Tribolium castaneum: one gene and its partner. The protein of the gene in region 2 binds, or shares a complex with, the protein of the main gene of each other region. Links are inferred from orthologs where the notes say so. Each region holds a gene or a part of one and is shown on either strand. Other genes may lie near its edges. The genes, in order: Nxt1 and nuclear RNA export factor 1.

What was found.
Region 1: the proteins of nuclear RNA export factor 1 (region 2) and Nxt1 are in contact, whole or in part, in a crystal structure (PDB 6IHJ), measured with the Drosophila melanogaster proteins. The link is inferred for Tribolium castaneum from reciprocal best matches to the Drosophila melanogaster genes sbr and Nxt1. Residues at the interface, in NP_524660.1 of Drosophila melanogaster: Leu359, Leu360, Glu361, Thr362, Lys363, Ala364, Ser365, Tyr366, Met404, Leu405, Ser406, Ile407, Ser408, Met409, Pro410, Gln414, Arg426, Asn427, Leu428, Arg429, Arg438, Thr439, Leu442, Tyr444, Thr467, Val468, Asp469, Thr471, Ile472, Met477; in NP_611833.1 of Drosophila melanogaster: Met1, Leu5, Val9, Glu10, Ala13, Asp17, Arg21, Thr43, Ser45, Trp46, Asn47, Gly48, Asn49, Gly50, Ile52, Tyr60, Leu64, Leu71, Asn72, Thr73, Leu74, Asp75, Ala76, Gln77, Pro78, Ile79, Val80, Asp81, Leu91, Met93.

What each region holds. Positions count from the first base shown.
Region 1 is NC_087394.1:2,875,464-2,885,614, reverse strand, and holds Nxt1 (NTF2-related export protein), read left to right. Parts: upstream 1-5,770; 5' UTR 5,771-5,875; coding exon 5,876-5,884; intron 5,885-5,941; coding exon 5,942-6,028; intron 6,029-6,083; coding exon 6,084-6,407; 3' UTR 6,408-6,437; downstream 6,438-10,151. Other genes in the region: three-prime repair exonuclease 1, read left to right, coding at 44-335, 383-842, 1,297-1,504; cyclic GMP-AMP synthase-like receptor, read right to left, coding at 1,761-1,864, 1,912-2,209, 2,255-2,395, 2,439-2,594, 2,644-3,054, 3,101-3,187; three prime repair exonuclease 2, read left to right, coding at 4,542-4,767, 4,826-5,108, 5,166-5,355; mri (BTB/POZ domain-containing protein 10), read right to left, coding at 9,029-9,393.
Region 2 is NC_087399.1:3,667,353-3,679,130, forward strand, and holds nuclear RNA export factor 1, read left to right. Parts: upstream 1-4,840; 5' UTR 4,841-4,977; coding exon 4,978-5,032; intron 5,033-5,085; coding exon 5,086-5,348; intron 5,349-5,398; coding exon 5,399-5,485; intron 5,486-5,533; coding exon 5,534-5,968; intron 5,969-6,016; coding exon 6,017-6,126; intron 6,127-8,222; coding exon 8,223-8,259; intron 8,260-8,308; coding exon 8,309-8,722; intron 8,723-8,769; coding exon 8,770-8,943; intron 8,944-9,000; coding exon 9,001-9,149; intron 9,150-9,197; coding exon 9,198-9,297; 3' UTR 9,298-9,470; downstream 9,471-11,778. Other genes in the region: alcohol dehydrogenase [acceptor], read right to left, coding at 1-355, 831-1,328, 1,376-1,532; Rint1 (RAD50-interacting protein 1), read left to right, coding at 1,942-2,076, 2,127-2,362, 2,408-2,581, 2,627-3,020, 3,086-3,311, 3,419-3,753, 3,846-4,372, 4,421-4,634; uncharacterized protein LOC656535, read left to right, coding at 11,544-11,545, 11,594-11,757. UniProt on the Drosophila melanogaster protein: Mediates the export of the majority of mRNAs from the nucleus to the cytoplasm. In ovarian follicle cells, plays a role in transposable element silencing regulation by enabling the nuclear export of flamenco (flam) transcripts and subsequent piRNA biogenesis.

The DNA of each region.
Region 1 (10,151 bases), on a different chromosome or scaffold from region 2:
CAGGCACTTATGACTACATTACGATATTAAGAATATATTAAGAATGAGCAGATATGGTCTCACTAGCCTACTGTTAAAACTGAACAAGTTGGTGCCCCACTCGAGTCAAGCCAACCAAACCTCAATGTCTCAAATCAAAACGTTCGTTTTCCTAGACCTGGAGACCACCGGTTTGCCCCATTTGGAGCACAACAAGACCCGAATTACCGAATTATGTGCCGTGTCGGTCCGAGCGGACCACATCGAGCTCGGGTGCTTCCCCCGAGTTCAAAATAAATTGTCCTTGTGTTTCAACCCTATGAAGATGATTAGTCCCGAAGCCACCTCCCTGACAGGTAATTCGCGCTAGATTTTATGCGAAAAAGTGCATCTGGGCTTTCAGGGCTCTCGAACGACTTGTTGGAGTACCAGGCGAGTTTTTCGAGTGACGCAGTGGACGTGATAAGGAAGTGGTTAGAGATGAATCAGAAACCGATTTGTTTGGTTGCACATAACGGGAATCGATTTGATTATCCAATTCTGAGAGCGGAGGTCGAAAAAACGCGGAATAAATTACCAGAGGATATTCTCTGTCTTGACTCTCTTAACGCATTTAGAAGCATTGATACGTTAGAGGCAGAGGCGGTGAAACAGCCACCCAAAGGAGAAATACCGTTTGAGTTTAACGACGGTTATGATGAGCTTTTAAGCCAAGCAGTGGACGAGTATGAAAAGCAAATGAAACTCACACCTGAACAAGTACAAAAAATTAACGAAACGACGCCACAAAAACAAAAGATTTGCTCAACAACTGGAAATGGGGGCCCTGGCGCTTCAACCAAACGTAATTTTGGGCACATTAGGTATGTTTATCTATACATGCTTCTGCATGCTTCTATGCTTCTGCGAAATTTGACTTTGACAGCTAAGTTAAAAAAAAAACAAAAATGTTAACGTTTAATGAAACAAGGGACGCTCCAAATCACACAAAAATATCCCGCTTTTTCGCATAAGAGCAATTTCAGAACTCGTGAAAACCAAATTAAATATACAGGGTGACTATTAAAGATTGTGATTCAGGTTGGCAACAAACTTGTAATTTTACTTTGGCAACCTTGCCTCATAGGCTAATAACTAATTTTTTTTCACAAAATTTTATGTTTATTTTAAATTTTATAGATCTAATATTTTTTAAAAATCTAAATTCGATACCGTTGCTAAGGAAAACAAATGAAAAAATTTATAAAAAAAAGTTGCTTGAAAAAATCTGACTTCATTTTTGTGCTAGTATACTATAACTAATTGTGAAAATTTCAGGGAATTCGTTAGTTATAAATTGGAAGATGTTTACAAAAGACTGACTTCTAAAGAACCAATCAGTGCACATGAGGCCGAAGGCGATGTTACGATGCTAGTCACTTGTGCGGCGGTTTATGGCGAAAAATTCGTCAAATATGCAAACGATAATTCGAAAAGACTGTCAGAAATTCCAGCCATGACGCCCGGCAGAAGAATTGGATTTTAATGATTTTATCATTTTTTTATTTTATTTATACTGACTAATATGTGTGTTATGTAGTGCCTTATTTTTGGCGTAAGTATAAGAAGGATTATTGATATGTAAATTTAGCTTTTAATATGTAGTTTTTTTTTCTAAAACTTCTGATCAAAGTGACCTGTGACGTTCGGTTTGACTGTTTATGTTGCCAACTTAACTTCACTAAGGCCACTTTGATCAGAATCTTTAATTTTATTTATACAAGAATGTATAAAAATATTGATTAAATAATGACACAACTTGAAGTTTGGGAGGCCGGTAATGCAGGTAATGCCTCTGCCATTACATCCTCTCCTTGAATATATTTGGTATATTCCTCCTTGGTCACTACAAACGAAAATTGAGTCGTATGACTTTTTTCTCCTAAAACTTACGTAAATGCTTGGCAATATTCTCTGGATTATTTTCAATATCTTTGATAATGTAACCGATCCGGTTACTGATATTATTCAAAGTTATTGGCGCTAGATGCCCTATTAGATTGTTTTTTCTGCACCAGTAGTAAGGAATTGACTGGTCTGCGATAAATTCGTTGTACTCTCGCAATGTGGTCATAAAAACTTCCCTCAAGGATTTATTCCAAAAACTCTGATCTTTCTGCTCAATGATATGTAAAAACACAGTCTTAATGTAATAACTGGCAATGTTTGGGTGCGTCTTCTCCTTCAATTTCTTAAAAAAAAATTAATACTAATGAAAGCCAGGTTTGAATCGCACCTTGATTAGCTTAACCGCCGGTTTTAACCGATTTTTATTATCGATCAGCACTCTTTCCTGCTCCTGGAACGATAAACTCCAGTAGCGTCCTTGGGGATTCACCGGTCCTTGCGGTTTTTTCGGAACAATGAAAAATTCCGGCTAAAATTACAATCAATGATTTTCTCTCTCAAATGACATTAACCTTCGTTGACGGGAAGGGGTTGCTTCTGTAGCCATTAATCGGCCATTTGTCTCCAGAAAAAACGAAACAGGCCACTAAATCAACGTCCATAATTTTCTCCCCTGAACTGTGGGAAATCCCCAGTGTCATTGCAGGCCCGCCTTTCCACCAATTAATCTACAAATAAAATAGTTTTGTGTTAAAATAAAATTTAAAACAACCGTACATGAAACGTTCCAAATTCGTTTGTTAACTCGCAGGTGGCGTTGTTAACCCAAGGCAGCGTGTTTAGGGTTTTCTGGACCAGGCTTTCCATCCAACGTAGTGTTTTCCCAGTGTCTAGGAAATCGTTATCGGCTAAAAATTTTTTTCGAAAGTCTTTGTAAACCCGCCCTTCCGGTTGTCTCAACCACCCGTCAAGGTTGTTTAATTTGAGCCAAACAAAGCCCGGAACGTTGCTTTCATTTAAGACGGGCTGAGCATATATAGGAATGTGCAAAAGTATGTCCAGGTCAAATTCTTCAGGCTTGCCAACCTTCAAACCGTCATAAAAACTACCACCGTAGAAAACGCGCCTGAAGAGGGCCTTAAAAAGGGGGTCTTGAGTCTTCATTTGCTCAACAAATGTGCGCAACACCTGGAACAACTCGTTTTTTTTTGGAAGATGACTTTTTGGTACTTACAGATTCAAGAATTTGTTTGTTACCGCGTACATCTTCTTCTGGAAGTGAGATAAATCTCTTGTTGATGTCGTTCAAGATGTTTTCCATTTTGACGCAAAAATGTGGCAAATAAATTGCTAACTATAAAATTAAAATGCACGAAACTTGACCTTGCAATGTTTCAGTGTTAAAAATAGAACAAATAACAACACAAATGGTCTAAAGCTTTGTGTGATTCCTGGAACATTACCTAACTCTTGCTTATCATTATCACAATTAAATTACTCTTGATAATATTAAAAAGCACATTATCTGCGAACCATACAAATAATAATATTTTTACAATTGATTGGAGTACGTATAAATAAATGGGAAATAAAAATTACAATAGAAGTTTCACCATCTTCTGGGCTTGTGGCCTAAGGTCATTGAATTTATTTTTCTATTTTAGTATGTTAGGCCCTCTATCATTGAGTAGCAGAACGACATGCTCTAAATTTCGGGACATTTGCATTCAGTGTCGCCAATCTGGCGCTTTTTCAGCTGCAGAAAATGTCCTTGTATTTTTCGAAATAACTTTTAATCAAATCATTTTATTGATTTGCCGCAGTAGCAACATTTCGTAAAAAATACTGCATTTTGACCAAATTTACTAAATAATGTATTCGATAAAATTTACTGACTTTTTCAGAAGTTTTTGATTAATTTTGCAAAACATTTCGATAATAAAATAATAAATAAATAATAACAAGTGTTTGTTTTTTTCTTTTTTAGACTTTTTAATAAAGAAGACTATAACTTAGGAGGCGCAGAATTTTCGGAACCCAAAAAAATAGTACGGCTAAGTTAGAATGAGGGCGCCAGATCGATTTAAATTAATTTAAATCTTACCAATTCATTAGTTATATAGAAAAAAATGCAAAAATATTAAACGTTGGAGATTAAAATTTTTGTTAGAAAATGAGAAAAAAACTATTTTTTTAAAATATGGTTGGAGTTACTAGAAAAATATTAAGAAGAAATTTGTAGAAAATTACACGTTTTTGAAAACTTTCCAATCTAGTGGCTTCGCTACTGAAAGTTTGGCAATAACTTAAGGCGGCTTCACGCATTCTTTTTTTACGTGATTTCCATTAATTATGTATGGAAAATGACCACGTTTTTACAATTATTTTCACCAACAGAAAATTTGCATTGTAACACTGTTTGAAATTGTCTTACGTTGTGTGAACCTTACTTTAGACTTTACACTGACGTCATCACCAGTTTTCGCGCCTTTTTCGCCCAATGACCGCAACACGCATGCGTAAAGCGTTTAAACTGAGCAACAATCCCAAAACGATCTATAGCTCTTAAGTGAAAAGTGATTTTCCATTTTCGAGTGATTTCGAACTGTTTTTAACTAAATAAACAAAGATTTTCTCTAGTTGGAAGCACCAGTTGACACCAGTCGTTTGTGGCAATGTCTGAAATAAAAACTTTCGTTTTTTTCGACTTGGAAACCACCGGTTTGCCCAAGTTTGAAGAGAACAGGACCCGAATCACCGAATTTTGTGCAGTGGCAGTTAGAGCAGATCATATTGGACTGCAGACTGCACAGAAATGTAAACTTCCAAGAGTTCAAAGTAAATTATCTTTGTGTTTCAACCCTGCGAGGGCCATTTGTCCTCAAGCCACCAAACTAACCGGTAAATTATTGTCTCCTATTTTAGTGTGAGCTAAAAGTGTGATAATATAAACTTTCAGGGCTCAGCAATGAATTACTGGAACACCAGGCACACTTTTCGAGTCAAACCTTGAATGTGATAAAAAACTGGTTAGATGTAAATGAAAAACCAATTTGTTTGGTTGCACACAACGGAAACGAGTTTGATTTCCCAATTCTGAGGGCAGAGATCGAAAACACTGGCGAAAATCTCCCCGAGGATATTCTCTGTCTTGATTCCATTATCGCATTTAAAGAGATTGATACTTTAGAGGGAGGGGCGGTAATAAATCAACCAAATGAAATAAAAATACGAAAAATTGAGTAAGTAATGATGTTTATAATTGTTGACAATAACAAAAATTTTTTTTTAAATTTCAGCACGAGTTATAACTTGGGACATGTTTTTAAAAGACGCCTTTCCAAAAGACCACTCAATGCCCATGGGGCTGAAGGCGATGTAAACATGCTACTCGCTTGTGCGGCAGATTATGGCCAAAAATTCGTCAAATTTGCTAACGGGAATTCGACAAAATTCTCGCAAATGCCAATTATGAAACCAAAGTTTTGATTTTTACGACATTTTCATTAACACAAAAATGTTTTTTATGCTTTTATAATAACTGATTAAAGAATGTTGCAACTTAGTGTTTGGTATCACTGGTATAGTTCCCCTGCCCTCGCAAAAAACACTAAATTCTTCCCGTCTCAAAAAAATTACCCCCCGATGAAAATTAACAATTACTGTGAAACTGCTAGAAGTAGATTTTTACAATATTATTTCAAAAATCAATAATCATACAAAATTGAGCGTTTGCGGTTAAATACTTTTTCATACTTTTTTTTGAGCTCTACAATAAGTCTCAAATTATTGTCCAGCAATAAGTAGGGCTTACAGCTTCATTACCGCGTAGTTTAATACCCTTGTTTTTCTTTAAAAAATAAAAAAATGCTTAATTACCCGCATTATTTAAATTTCCCGCCGACGCAAGCTTTGACGCGCTTGCGCATTGTCCCAAAACAAATTTGTGCAAATAACCTCACTTTTTTGCCCCCAATGTTTTAATAATTTTGGCGTAATTACAACAAATATGACTCAGGTAGCGTCAAAAATACGACCACCAACACTTTGCCTCTCCAATTACTTAATTTTACAGATTGTTAAAAGCAAAATCGACCAAGCTTGCCGGGTGGCTGAGGAGTTCACAAAACTTTATTACGAAACTTCGGACAAAAGGCGACACGTAATTCGCCCCCTCGTGCGTCAAAACGCATAATTGAAATATTTTTTTTCTTCAGTTGATGTCGAAATTGTATCTGGATTCGGGTCTCCTGGCTTGGAACGGCAATGGGGTGAATGGTAACGAACGCATCCAGAAATTTTTCATCGATTTGCCGACTTCCGATCACATAATTAACACTTTGGACGCGCAGCCTGTCTTGGATTCGGCGGTAAATGGCCAGCTCACGTTCATGATCCAGGTCAGTGGAACGGTAAGGTACCAGGACAGGGTCCCCAAATCCTTCCAGCAGAATTTCATAATCACAGCGCAGGGCGATAAGTGGAAAATCGTAAGCGACTGTTTCCGACTGCAGGAGCCCCTAACTAACGATAAGAGTTGAAAAAATAAAAGTTTGTACGTTGAAACTCCATTTATTTCGTTTCATAAAAACAACAGGTATAAAATCCTTAAGCTACATTGATATTAAAAGCAAAGCGTAATGCCAGATTAATTGAAATGATACAATATGTACAAATAAATAAATGAGCAAAGTAAAAACAATCTACAATTTCAGTCTCAAGGGTTCGCGAATTTGGACTTTGTAAATCAAAGGAATGTGTTATCAAAACCAGTTCGTTACAGGGCACAGCCAGGACAGCTATTATATACAGAGTGAACATTTTCAGCCTTGACTTAAGGCAAAACATTTGAATTGTGCCGGCGTGATCACATTATTAACCTGAAATGTGCGGTAACAATAACTGATCCACATTTATTGGAGGACTAAAATTTTATACAGGGCGATTTTTTAAAACACAGGCGCTGGAGAATTTTTATTTATGGCCCGATTTCAAACACTAAAAATTACTTTTAATCGAGTATAAGCTGATACTCTTGTTAAAGTAATTTTGGGCTTATAATATTCAACTTTTTCTTTTTATAATCTAAAAAATATTAGTTTTTTTGTTCTCCTTTTGTACCTAACTTCTTTCAAAAACATTAAACAGAAAATCTCACCTTGGCACATAAAATTTGATCAGTTGTTTTAAAATTTATTAATTGTTACATGATTAATTGAAACATTATTTGCCTGAAATGTTTGGACGTGTTTTTGGTTTTGATGAACTTAAAAAACATGTTTAAACCTTGGAAACACACATTTTTGGCTCAATTCCGGCGATTTTTTTTGGCCATTATTTGGCTAAAAAACTGCTTAATAAATGCTATTTTGAGTGAATGCTTTACTCATTTCGGAGAAATTTTCGCAAAATCACTGCGTTTTTAGCCTACAAGATGAGTAAACACTTGAAACACGCAAAACTGAACAATTTCTGGTTGAAAATTTGCTAGATAGCTCTGAAAATCCAAAGAAAAATTTTTTTGTTTAGATTATAAAAACAAAAAGTTTAAAAAATGTGCCCAAATTTCCAGTAAAATAATTGGGTTTGTACCTGAAAAATGTCCTAAAGGCCATAAAATAAGCAAATTACAACTTTTTTTTATTTCGGGATTTTTCACCAAATTTTACTTATCAATTGAAAAATTATGTTCAAAAAAGCCAAAATAAAGCAATCTTCCACTGAAATTGATGATTTTTTTTGTTCGAAAATCCTAATATTAAAAACAAACTTAAAAGCTTGCTTCAATTATCAAAGAAGGCAAAAATTATCGTTTTCGAGGTTATTTCATGATTTTTGGGAAATTAACGCAAAAGGATTGGCTTCAGAATATGGTTAAACGCATAATAAATTCAAAACTAACTTCATTTTCAGTCTATTCGGTTTATTTCGCAAAATGACTTAATATTTCGATACATTTTTTGTTCACTTCTGAAATTTGTGTTTTCGAATTAATTTGGTGGAAATTCGGTTTATTTTTACAAAATTTTGCTAAAAGATGCTTTTCTGACCAAAAAATTATGCCCAAAAAAGAGAAAAAATATACTTTTGACTTGAATTTTTTCATTTTGAAAAATGTGTCAATTCTAAGCTTAAAACTGTACTTAAACCTCTACAGAAGACAAAAATTCACTAACTTCCACTCATTTTATTGATGTTTGATTGGTTTATTCGATTTTTACGAAATTTTGCTAAACGATGAAAATAATATTTTTTTGACTCAATTTTTTTTCGTTTTGAAAAATCTGTTAATTCTAAGCTCAAAAACTGTGATTAAACCTCCACAGAAGATAAGAATTCACTAATTTCCACCCAATTTATTAATTTTTGATTGGTTTTTGCGAAATAAATGCCGAAACAATACAGAACTAATTAGATTTTTTAATGAATTAATTTGGTAATTTTTCTATAAAAATTTGTCAAACAATTGCATTTCGGTTGGAAATCATTTAAAAAAGGCAAAATAACTCAATTTTAGTAATTTTTTTTGGTTCAGTTTTTGAAAATTCCACAAGAAGAATATATTTTATGCTTAAAAATATCTTTAAACTCTCATAAAAAGCAAAAATTACACCATTTGGAATAAAATCCAGTTGCATGGTGTCAATAGCTTTCTTTAAAATAAATTATTTTAGTTAAATAACAGATATTTGAAAAAATATTTTTCATACTTTCTTTTATTTACTACTTTTAACACAACAATAATGGCATTGGTTTTAACTTTTATTACTTTTTTCAAATCTATAAATTTTTTGTCAAAAAAGCTAAAATGTTTGAAATTATGAAAAGAAAATGGAAATTCTAATTTAAAATAACAAAGTTGTTATTTTACAGCCCAAAATATAAAGTGACGTTTAATGATTTTTTATTTTTTAAAATTGGGCCATAAAGAAAAACTACAGCGCCTGCCATTTTTTAAAAATCACCCTGTATATTTTATACAGGATGAATGGTGGTTTAATTCTGAAATGTCAGAAATAACCCATAATTGACTCACCCTGTACACATACTTTAGACCAAAATAGGCATTTAATATCATTGGCCCAAAACAGCAACAGATCTCTGAAAAAAAAAACAAACAAAAAAATTACACAGATACAGCGACGCTTCTCAGTCGAATTTCCTAATTTTGCTCTTCTGGGGGTACACTGGCGACGTCTAGATCAGGAAGCCCTCCTCCCACCGCCCCCTCGTCGTTATCGCCCCCCGGGGGCATATCCAAGGGGGCCATATCGAGCGGTGGCGGATCCGAAATGGTCACTGCAACAATAGGATTCCCTCTGGCGTCCAATTCCAAAGCTGGATCAGCGGTGGCTTCTGCCAGATTTGTGACACTTTTTGATTTAACACACTGGAAGTCAACGTGACGACTTTTCGCCTCCTCTTTCTCCCACGACATGTGGATGAACGGTCTTTGGACGTAATTGTAGATCACTTCGGCCCTGCCGCCTGGACGCTTCTTCACTTTTTCCTTATAGGTTGGATAACCTGAATTTGGAACACGACGCGTAACGGAGGGTTTTAATAAAATTAGATATACAGGCTGCTCAAAAACTGGCGCACCAACTCAGTGGTACGTTATTGAGAAGCAAGTGCAGATTACGGGAAAAATGTTGAAAAAATTCCTAAAGTTATATTTTAAAAAATCTGGAGCTACAAACTTATTGTGTTAACTTCTTTAGTTTTCATTATTTTTTTATGTTTTTATGTTTCACACCAGGTAATCGTTCCGTAACAAAACGATGAATAATTATTTTTAAATTTACTCTCAGATTTTAGCAGTTTTTTTAATTTAAAAAAATTAAAATTCATCCAAAAAATCACAATGTGTAGATGTGTCAACACTGGGAATTATTTCCTAGGAAACCGTTTCAAAAATAATTTATTTTTATTGTTGCTCAAATTCGGAAATAAAATTAACTAGACGCCCTCTGGTGATGACTTTTGAACTATGTCGAAAACAGTAAAGAAATTTTCGTAATGCCACATTTAACTGACATTTAATGAATTGTTCAACAATTTTGCGTGTATAGTGTTAATTATTTACAATAGAAAGAATTACTTTAAAAGTACGTGGTAGTAAATACTAGCGTTGACTTTGGTTCTGTAGTTTTTCGTGGTATAAAGTGTTTATTGTTGGAACTTGAAAGTGGATAAAATGTGAAAAATATTTAAATTTTGATTACAAAGTGTTATCAAACAGTTGTCTAATTAAGTAATTAAAGATTATAAGTAATGGATCAAAG
Region 2 (11,778 bases):
AGGTCCAGTCCGGTGGTTACGTGGTCTTGCAAGTTGTCGCCGACTGGTAGGTCAAGTCTGGGGGCTATTTTTAATTTCTCCAAGTGTTTTTTGGGGCCAATGCCCGATAACATGAGGATTTTTGGGGAGCCGATCACGCCGGCCGATAGAATCACACCCTTGGTGGCACGGACGTAGTAGGTTTCGTCCAAGTGGGTGTATTTCACACCGTAGGCCTCGTAGTTGGATTTTAAGAGGACTTTTTCGACTAGAGAGTTAGTTATGACGACTAGATTGCGTTTTTTGGTTTTTTCTAATTGGTGGTAAGGCGTCCAGCGCTGGCCGTTACGCATTGTTACTTTAGTGGCCGAAAAACCTACAATTTTTTAATGAATTGGGTCTCTAACTGGGGGAGCCGGCGCTGTCCACTGGAGCCTTTTTGCCTTTTGCAAAATAATTTTCCGAAAATACAAAAAATACAGTTATTTCATTTAGATAGTTATAAAAAAATGTTATTTTCATTCACGTATGTCAGGACTAACTCTTTTTGCTTAGAGACATTTGAAAGTTTCGTCATATAGCTAAACAAATGGCTGAGAAAAAGATGATAACATTATAAATTCCACACAAAAAGGAAAAAATGTCGTTGGAATGTTCGAAATCACTTGGTATTGTCAGTGAGTTTCTAAATCAAAAATCATCTGGCATTGAGAATTATGTGAGATAACTAGTTCAGTTTGTTTAGAATTGACAATCAGACCTAGTTTGTTGATTTTTAAATTTTTTGCGACAATTTAAAAAAAAAACACAAAAAGTTCTCCAGCTGGACAGCGCTGTTCTAGTGTATGTACCAGGCTCTGAGTTCACCCCGTCTGATAGGCCAAAGCCGAGACACAACCCGGCTTGCAGAAAATAATCCGACAAGTTCGACTTAAACGGCATATCCTCCACGAAAACTGAACATTTGTGCTTGTTAGTTTCGTTGCTTTCCAGTTTTTTGAAGTAGGGAAGAACGTCGATCGTGTAGTTGAAATTACAGGAATCTTTATACCACTCGGCGAAGTCTTGGGGGTGTCCCCGGACGTAAATCATGTTATTTAACATCGCCGTGCCCCCCAGAATCTTCCCCATGGGCCAATGACTTACTTTTTTGTCAAGCCCCAAACAGGCATGTTTCTGGGGCACCGTTCGGTACTGCCAGTCAAAAACCGAGTCTTGTAGCATGAGACTAACAGTCGGGATTTGCAAAATGCCATTTCCGCTAGCCCCAGCTTCAATTAGCAAAACTTTAACGCTGGGGTTTTCGGCGAGTCTTCGAGCGACGATGCTTCCAGCTGAGCCGCTCCCGACTGTCTCAATTTGAGTAATTTTGTTAAAACTGGGCGTCTATACCAACCTACAATGTAATCGTAGGCCTGGTCCTTGAAATCCAGCTCTCGACAAGCGAAGCACTCAAAGTAGTTGTGAAAGTACACAAATCTAAGGTATAGCCCGAATAGATTAACAGCGAGAACGTAGACACTTATGTAGAACGCAGGGTTGGAGCAACACATTGTGTTTAATTCAATTTTACACGGAAATTTTGAAATAAAAAAAGGCCGAAAATTGTCAAAAGTGAGGTTATGCCAAATAGAAGTGAGGTTACAACTAAACCACCTGTCAAGAAGTTTATTTAAATTTGTCTGGGTTATTTAGTGCTGAAAAACACGCGTAATGTTTGATTTCTACTAATTGATTTGATGCACGTCTGTAAATATAACGTATGTTTTTAATTTAATTATGAGTCTAACTTAATTAATCGTACTTTGCCCACAGGTGTTAGAATCTGATGCAACATTGTGCTAAAATACTTATTAACTTATGGGATTTATTATTTACTGTATTAATTGCTAGATAAACGCACCGATTTTGTCGATTCTGGGCCATTGTCATAACTGAGGTTATGTGCCACATCGCCTTAAAATGACCACATCGGAATCAAAAAAAGAATTAGTTAATGAACTGAATAAGAAGTACGGTAAAGATTTATTAAATTACGAAAAATGTAAGAAGATCTATGAGCAATTGCAACAAAACAAGTCTGAGATTGAAAGACAGGTTTTTAATGCAACTCCCCAAGTTCCCACCCCTTAAAGTGTGATTTTTAGTTAAATTTAAACGATGAGTCATCTTCGATTGGTAAAGTTGTCAAAGAGGCGGAAATTGCGGCACAAAACACTGATCTTTGTTTGGAAAGAACTACCGATGTTATTGACGAAATTAAAGCAAATCTCGTTGAAGTTGAAGATGTGAGGCGAGATGTGCAGAAACGTCTTGATAAATTAAATGCCTTACAAACAACCTTCCAGTACTTTAAAGTCATACAGAGAATTGAGTTTTTGAGGTTGGTCACACTGTAGTTTTTCCCCTCGCAATAATCGAATTTTAGCGACGAATTAGAACGCGAATTTAAGAAAAAAGACGATGAGCAGTGCGTCACAATTTTTGCGAATTTGTGCGAAATCAGCCGTAATTTAACTGATTTTCAAGGTAGCAATTTGAGGAATTATCTCAAGGACACTCTACACTATTGGCACAACGTACTAAAGGAAAAACTAGCAAAGTAACTGGTCTGATTTATCATTCGAGTCTTTATCTAACATTTTAGAGATTTCGATGACGTAATGAAATCACTCAAATGGCCATTCGTTAGTGCAAACTTCAGTCTACAAACGCCCTCTCCTAACAGCATTCTGAAGCTACAAATTGTGGCAGAATATCTGCTCCAAATCGAACTTCCAAGTGAGACAATTGATCCGAGGATAACTTCGGCCCTTTTGAGCGATTTTCCACCCCTTTGTCTCCCAGTTATGCTCCTAGTCCAACCCTTAAAGAAACGGTTTTTGTACCATTTCTACGGCGCCCGTCAGACCAACAGGCCTGATAAGCCCGAATGGTACTTTACCCAGATTTTAACATGGATCAGGGACCATGCCGAATTTTTAGTCAAGTGGATTCAGCCGGTGATTGATAAATTGGGGCTCCACCACATTGACGCCAAAGTAATTTTCTCTATTTAATTGTTTTTTTTATGATTAAGTTCTAATAATAAAATTTTGTTTGACAGTTGGAATTCATCAGAGGCCTTGTACAGTTGGCTGTGGAGAAGCTAAACTCTGATTTGCCTAACTTACAATTTGACGATTTCACTTTTTCGCACTCTATTGACGAAGCTCTTGGCTTTGATAAAGAATTGCGTGAAACCTACAGTTATCCACCGACGCAGCCGAGTATTTTAGCCGTTTTAACTCAAGCTAAAATCATTATTAAGTGGATGGCTATGGAGAAAAAATGTGAGTTGGCGTGAGTTCACAGCCTCCTTAAATTTAAATTTAAAATAAGAAGGAGGTTGTGCGACCAATCGCCTAGGAGATAATTTGTTCTGATAATATTTTGTCAGATGCTATGGAAAAAATGGACGCGATGATGTCCTCAGCCACAGTCGATCCTTTCGAGCCGCTAACTTACGATATTGAAGAGCTGAAAATAACAACATGTGCCGATGCTTTTATAACGCTTCTTCAGACAATCACGGAACGTTACGAGGCATTGCCACAACCCGGCCACCGCTTGCAGTTCTTAGACCTCCAGTTAGAGTTACTGGATGATTTTAGAATAAGATTATTGCAACTGGTTAACGCGGAACATGAAAATATAGTCGAATCGAAGATCCCCACGATTGCTAACACGATCTATTACATCGAGAATGTTTTAGTTGATTGGGGGGCAATGTTGGTACGGCTGGCTCGAACCGTGCGATTTGATTGGCTGAACGCAGACTTTCAGCCAATCAAATGGCACTATCTATACTTATGCAAGTGTTTCAGCACTATTTGAATTTATACTACTACAAAAGCCAGTTGAATGACTACAAAGCACCCACAAGCCCGTCAAGTGATTCGGACGACTTTGACCCCACGGATATTGAGGGTGAAACTGTTTTTGCCGAAACTTTATCACTCTATAGGCACATGAGACGCGACTTGTTATTTAATTTATCAGATTATGTCATGTTGGAAGTCAGGTCACAAGGTAAAGCCTACAGGAGGGAAAGGTGGTCCTCTATGAATGTCGGTAAAGACATCAAAGGCCTGTCTTTAACACCCACAGCCTGCCCTATTTTCGAAATCGTGGCTAAACGACTACACCAACTGCAAAAAACTCTAGCTTCGAAACTTTTTACGATAGTTTGGCGCTCGGTTGCGCAACAATTAGATAATTACCTCTTTGAGGATCTTGTCCTTGATAATAGATTTAACACTGGAGGCGCTTTGCAGTTAAAGTATGACGTAACAAGGAATTTACTGCCGTTATTTTCGCAATATACCGAAAGGCCCGAAACGTATTTCGTCCAGTAAGTTATTTACTCAGTCGGTAAAGTGGAAAATAAGAACTGTTGCAGACTGATTGAAGCTTGCAATCTTTTAAATATAACTAAAGGGTCCGCTTTGCTACTACGAGAGACTCTCTTGGCTCTTGAGGGGGCCACAGGTATTGAGGACTCCCGCGGGAGAGCCCTCAAGGAGGTTGGGGTGGTCAGCTTCACCCCAAAAATGGCCGTTAAGATTCTAAACCAGCGCACCGACATTACTGTTAATAGGATGGACGTTGATTGAAGCATTTATACGTTTTGTTGAGAAATTTTATAATAAATGTTTTCCCCACCATTGCATTTCATTGAATCACCCTGTAAGTGAATCTAGAGTAGAGTATAAAATGTTACTTCTGGGCCAGAATATTTGGCGTCTTAAAAAACAAGTCAGAACCTTACAAATTTCCTGTACTCTACTATTCAAAAGTCGGTGATTTTCTCAGGGAATTTGGCCTCGCCTTGTTGGCAGCGCGTATCAATGGCGTTTACTTGTCGAAAGTGAAGTGGTGTTAAATCAGGCTCAAAAAAATTATTAAAAAAACAATAATAGTTATAGTTAAGTGCTAGTAAGTAATTGAGACGCTACTATGGCCTCAAAGGGCGGAAAATACAACAAACCGTCGTGGAGAAGCCAATACAGTGGTAAGTCCCCAGCACACTCCACGCGATTCGTTTAAAACGCAGTAAATTGCCAGAGCATGATTTTCGCGGCGGTGGCGAGACCCGCAAAGTGAGTTTCAAGTCAAACAAGTATAAAAAGGACAATAGAAACTGGGCAGCGGCGAGTAGGGCGTACCTGGAAGATGAAGACATTGACATGGGGGCCTCGTCCGGGGGCGGGCGAAACTTCAACCGGAAGCAGTTTAAAGGCAGACGGGGCGGTCGCGGGGACTCGCCCGTGCCCAATCACAAGAAACGGCGGCTTTTGGAGAGCCCCTTCGGTTGGTACCGCGTGACAGTAAGTGTATTAAGTGAGGCTTTTTGGGGGTTTTACACGTGTTTTGCTAGTTGCCGTTTGGGAATAAATACGAGAAGGCGTTCGTCTTGAAGACGCTGCTCGAGCGGATCCAACCTTTGCCCTTGTGGCCAATTACGGTAATGGTTTGTTTGTGTGAGGGTTTTTGACTGATTTTTTGTCTCCAGTGGAGTGTAAACGGCACAACTGCCACTTTTTACATGGATGAGTTTAAAGCCGCGGAAAAGCTGTACGATTTAGATCGCCAGATTCAAATGCCCGACGGGTTTAAATTGCTGATTAAGGTCAGTCATGGGATGCCAAATGTTGACGTTAATAGTGAGATGAAGGAGAAAATTAAATTAACGATGGCTAAGCGGTACAATGCCGCTAATAAAGCGCTCGATTTAACGAAATTCCACGCCGACCCTGACCTACAAGACAATTTCTGTGTACTGTTCAAACCGATCATTTTTCTAACAGTTTTGGAAATAATCGCGGAGAATATCCCAGAAATTGAAGCGATTAATTTATTCGATAACAAAATAGCAAACTTGTCGTATTTAAAGAAGACCAATGAGAAACTGCCCCATTTAAAAATTTTGCATCTAGGAAATAATAAGGTAATGTTGTTGCCCAAAATCGGGGATTTTGTAAATTTGGGGATTCAGTTTAAGGATCTGTCAATGTTGGACCCTTTTATTGGACTACCTATCGTCGATATTGTTTTAAATGGAAATCCATTATGCAACAAATACAAGGACCAAGAGGCGTACATTGGGTAATGTTGAACTAATTTATTTTTTGTAGTCATCATGTTATGAACGTGAATGCATATGAGGGTGACTGGTTATCGGAGATTGTCACTTGAATAAAAAAGAGGTTTTCTGCCAACAATGGAATAAAAGTACTTGAAAATTATTAACGAAATTTGTTGTTACGCAAATTTCAAAGTCCCAAATTTTCGCGATAATTTGTTTAAAACTTAAGTAGCATTACATGTGGCTTCGTTGCATTGTGGCTGAATTCTGCATTTGGCAACCTTTTAATATTATTGTTTGACTATAATTAAGTCACTGAAGTGTATAAAAATAAAAAAAAATCACATACAAACATTTCCATGGGATTACATAATTTTTGTTTTGTATTATCAAAGTGAGAGGAGGTTTCTCAAAGGTGCGTCCTTACAGCAGTTACGAAGCTTCGTAAAGCGATAGCTGGACAAGCATTGCAAGATTTTGCTGTCCATAAACAATGCAGTTAGTTTAAGAAGACAGAAGAACTACAAGGAGTGGACCAGAACACTTAAATGTGTATGTAATTTGGCAAAAATGCTTGTAAATCAAGCAGATTGTCTTGTTTTTCTGCACCTTAAACAATCAATGACTCCTCATAGTACAATAATTATTATATTTTTTTGTTTTATGTAGTAATCTTATGGAATTGATACAAGACATAATAATGAAAAGAAATACTAAATAATACCGTTAAAAAATTGAAAAATTATATGCTCTTCAGTGGCGATTTATTCTAAATTTATTAGTTTTGTTGTTTAATGCAGGAGTAATATAAATTGTTGATCGTGTAATGCTGTTTTAGTTTTAAATTTACGAAGCTTGTCTTACTTTGAAATTGTGTAACAACTGTCTGATCGGTTGCAAAATTCCTCGGAGGTTTAATTCCCAAAATAACAAACTTCAATAAATTTTGATTGTTTAACACTTTGTACAAAATTAGATTTTCGTAAGTTTTTGAATTAAACTGAAGAGGGCACAAAATACTGGAGCTATTGTATCCTATTTTTTTTCAAATAAATAATGTGTTAGGAAATGAGAAGTGGCTGAAAATACGGTACAAAAATCACTAACTCAGAATTTGTGACTAAATCAATTTCCGTTCCTAGAAAAAAAATCAGCATAAAGCTGTATTTATTCTTTTTCATTTACATAATAATTTTTTTTTCGCCCAAATACTTCTTGAATGAGTTTATCCCACTAATTCACAATTGTAACATAGTTATAATTCCGTTCCTAGAAAAAAATTCAAAATAAAGCAGTATTTCTTCTTTTTTTATTTACATAATAAAATATTTACAACATATTTACATAATAAATTATTTTTGCTTAAATACTTGAATGAGTTTCAACGTTTCATCAAGGGTGGATTTTATAATCGTCAGATAAACCCCAGATAATTTATTTCTAGTATAATTACTATGGTTACAATTGTTATAACAATGTATTTTTCAAAATTTATTTCTTAGATAAAGTAATCCTACGATTGTAAAATCCGCCCTAAATGAAAGATAAAAAACGAAAAAGGGATGTCCCTAAGGGTGCTTCATCCAAATTGGAGCAGGTGTATAGTACAATAGTATCCTGTGGCACCATTAGGGGATTAGATAGACTGGCTTTTTTGCAGAACTTTGTGCTTCAAGACTAGAATAAAATCCTAAACGATTATAAAAGAAACAAAGCATGTTCCATTGTCCGAAATCTAATCGGATTGATTCCGAATTCTTGAAACGTAGCGAATAGTTCTCGTGAGATTTTCAAGTATTAACGTGTTGAGATCTTTGTCAATTCAAGTTAAATGTACTCGAAGGAGAACGTCTTCGATTTCCTGATCGTCACAAATTTCTTATTAGATTCTAGACATCTTCATTAAATTTTCTTGTTTTGTTCGTTACGAAAATAGTCACACGTTCTGAGTTTACGCTTCTCTTTTCTGTCACATTGACTCGCTTAAATTTCGATCAATTTGTCAGTCTGATTCCATTTTGACTAAAACCTCTTGTTTTTCATCTAAACATAAATGCTGAGCAAATCTGCCACCTCCATTGTTAACACCTTCGGGTGACTTCTTCTCTTTCCGCAGTGAAGTCCGCAAACGCTTCCCCAAAGTAATGAAACTGGTAAGTTTATTTAATTTGCTTGTTCGCCTCTTCATAAAACCATTCAAAGGACGGAATCGATCTACCCCCACCCATAAGTTTCGACATTCAGGAAGAAACCCACTTACCACCAATCCAACAAACATTTTTATGTAACCAAGAGGGCGAATCAATAGTTCGACAATTCCTCGAACAGTATTTTCTAATTTTCGATTCGGAAAATCGCCAACCCTTGTTACAAGCATATCACGAAAGCGCCCTATTTTCAATGACCATGTCGTACCCGTACGGACACAGAGACAAGAATGCCAGTTGGCTAAACTGGTACACCACTGATAGCAGGAATCTGCAAAAGGTCCAAGACCCGGATCGGAGAAACAAACTACTGAAACAGGGCCAAGTGGCTGTTGTTTCATTTCTGCAAGAAATGCCTCGGAGTAAACACGATATTCACAGTTTCACGGTTGATCTTGTTGTTTTTACGGTAAGTCGAATTTTGGTTTCGTCAAGTTGGTGATAACGTTGCTTCAGCCATTAATGATCGTTTTAACGGTCACTGGGATGTTCAAAGAACTGAAAAGCGGACACAAAGTGCCTCCGACGCGAGCCTTTTTCAGAACACTCGTTATAGTACCTGCAGGCTCAGGTTTCTGTATCTCGAATGAAACACTGCATATTACAAACGCCACCGACGAGCAAGCCAAGGTTTGTCGATTAATAACTTGAAGAAAAAATGTTGTATTGTACTCGTGATTTTTTTAGCATATTTTCAAGACTGTGGTTTCGGCGCCGCCCCCGACTCCGGTGGCGTCGCCTGTGGCAACCCCTGCGCCCATTGACGACTCCACGAGGCAACAGATGGTCACCGCAATGGCCGAACAATCCACCATGAATTTGGAGTGGTCAAGGAGGTAAAATATAGATGTGGATTTACGTTTGGCTAATTTGATTACTGCCAGGTGTTTGGAAGAAACCCAGTGGGATTTTACCCGAGCGTTGAGTGCGTTCGCAGATGCGCAAAAACAAGGACTAATCCCGCCTGAAGCGTTCGTGAAATAGTGAAATAAATCGAATTAAGTCATCATGTTGTTCTTTTTATAAAATTTGTATTTGATAATGTTTATCATTAGTTTTATTACAACTGTAAATAAAAACACTCGATTATGTTTGTGAATGAAGCTTAATTTCAATGAGACTGTGTCAGTTATTTTTATAATAAATAGTGAATAACAGGAGTGTTGTTTTATTTGGGGTGATTTATGCCAGAAAAGTGTGTTATTTAACACACTTGTGCGAAGGGAATACGAAAGCTCTGCCTCATTTAATATCAGAAACATAAAAGAGTAATAAGTGTCAAGCGGAGTTATTTATTGGATAAGGGGTTTGGAGTTAATGAAGCTATTACGTTTATATTTCGATAATTTTGGGCTTGGAGTTATCTGATTCAGGCCATATTTCGAATTACTGGGTGATTTAGGACTGTCTGCTGCGTGAAAATTAGACCAATATTTTTGAACTTGAGGAAATGCTTAATTTAATTTATGATTGCTAATTTTTTATTATTACATAATTACTAACTCAAGGTAAGTTTGGGAAAAAATACACAATTGTTTATCTCAGGAAAAAATCTTCAATAAAATATTAATCATAACATTTAATCATAATTCCCAAAATGACTGGGAGATAAAGACAATATTCAGAAATACGAACTGAACAAGACTTTAGATTATTTGCCATTAAAAAATAAGACAGAAGCCTGAAAATATGGCTGTTCTCCCAAAAGAAAACAACTGAAAAAGGCCTCAAACCCTTCAAAAATCATTAATTTTTATTCACTCTTAAAGTACCTAAATATCTGAAGATCCAAAACACTTAGAAAATGCCTTGTAAACACAAAAACTTCCCAGATAACATTGGTGAATTCACAATAAATTCACAGTGGAGAAAAATGCTCTACAAATGAGTTCACGATGAATTCAGATGCGAAGTCACCATGAAATCACGCGTGAGACATTTTTCCTCACTGTAAATTCAAATACATCTTTTTTTATTCAAAAAAACACCCCAAAATGACTTTTTCTCTGGGCCAGGACATTTGGCGTCTTCAAAAAATAAGACAGAACCCTGAAAATTTAGCTGTTCTCCCAAAATAAAACTACTGAAAAAGTATTAACTTTTATGCACCCCAAAAGTACCAAAAATTGGGCGGTGTTTTACAAACAATAACGAAAAATAAAAAAAAACATTTTTTCCTGTTTGTTGAGAGAATTTTAGTCGTTTTTTTCAACCCTCCAACTTACAGCTTAAAAACCCGCTTAATAAATGAATTTAAATTTTTTGAAAGGTAAGTATAATGTTACAGGGTGTTACATATCCAAGTAATATAGTCAAATTACGCAAAAAGTTGAGACGAAAATAATAAATGCCTAAATTGAATTACTTATTTATTATTTATTACTTATTGTAGGGTTTAGAAAGATTCTTCGTTTATTTAATTTTTATATCTCAACCACGAAAGTATCAAAACAACAGTTATCTAATTGTATGAAACACAGTTCGTGTACAAACCGCATATCAGTTACATAAATTACAAAAACCGGTCGTTTTACTCAACTTCAGTGCGACGCAAACTTTCCCCCAAAACGAAAAAAGACTCGAGCATTAATTGTTGCAAAAGTTTCTGGTTTCAGTTCATTAATTACTTCAATTAGCTCTATTTTCCCATTCCAGGGTAAAGTTTTATAGCTTTTGTACAAAATTAATCCGTCGGCAAAATTATTCGAATCGATATTTTTTGTGGAATATGTGAGTGGGTGTTAATTCCTGACGCCGCGTCACCGGCTGACAATCCCAGTGAACCAAAGCCCTTGCGTTTGCATTATTCACCCCCTCTTGTCCATTTTAATAATCGTCTATTGCAAAAAAAACAGGATAAATAATTCAGCGGTTGTAAAAATGGTGGATGCGCCGGGCGAGCGTTCAATGAAATCGCCAGTTTCAGTTTCTAATCCTAGTTCGCAGCGCGGCTTATCACATCTAAGACCTCGTCCGTCCCGTCCGTAATCGTTGGCGGCGTTTACCATCCCCTCGGGCATTGAAACTTTGATAAAAGCAAAGCCCAGCTTCGATCGAGCTTCCGAATTGCGCGTAGCGATGCGCGCCACTCGCAAGCTCTGCCCGGCACCTCAATGTTTACAGACTTAATCGGTTTATTGCCGCATTTTATTGTTTTATCGACGCTCCGACGATGCCGTCGACGCCTCTAAACAACCTCTAGACGTTCCGATGACGCGTAAACAAGCATAATGTGAGTAGTTTCATTTTTACTATCTCGACGGAGAGCAACGGCTTTTAGGTTCTGGGTTGTCGCGACCACGCTGATCTGGGCCGTCATGGGGGCACAACAGTGCAAGAGGGCCGAGTTCAGGTGCAATGACGGCAGCTGCATCGCCAGCAATAAATTCTGCAACGGGCTGCAGGACTGTGCCGACGGCAGCGACGAAGGGCACAACTGCACGCGTAAGTTACACTTTTTTGAGC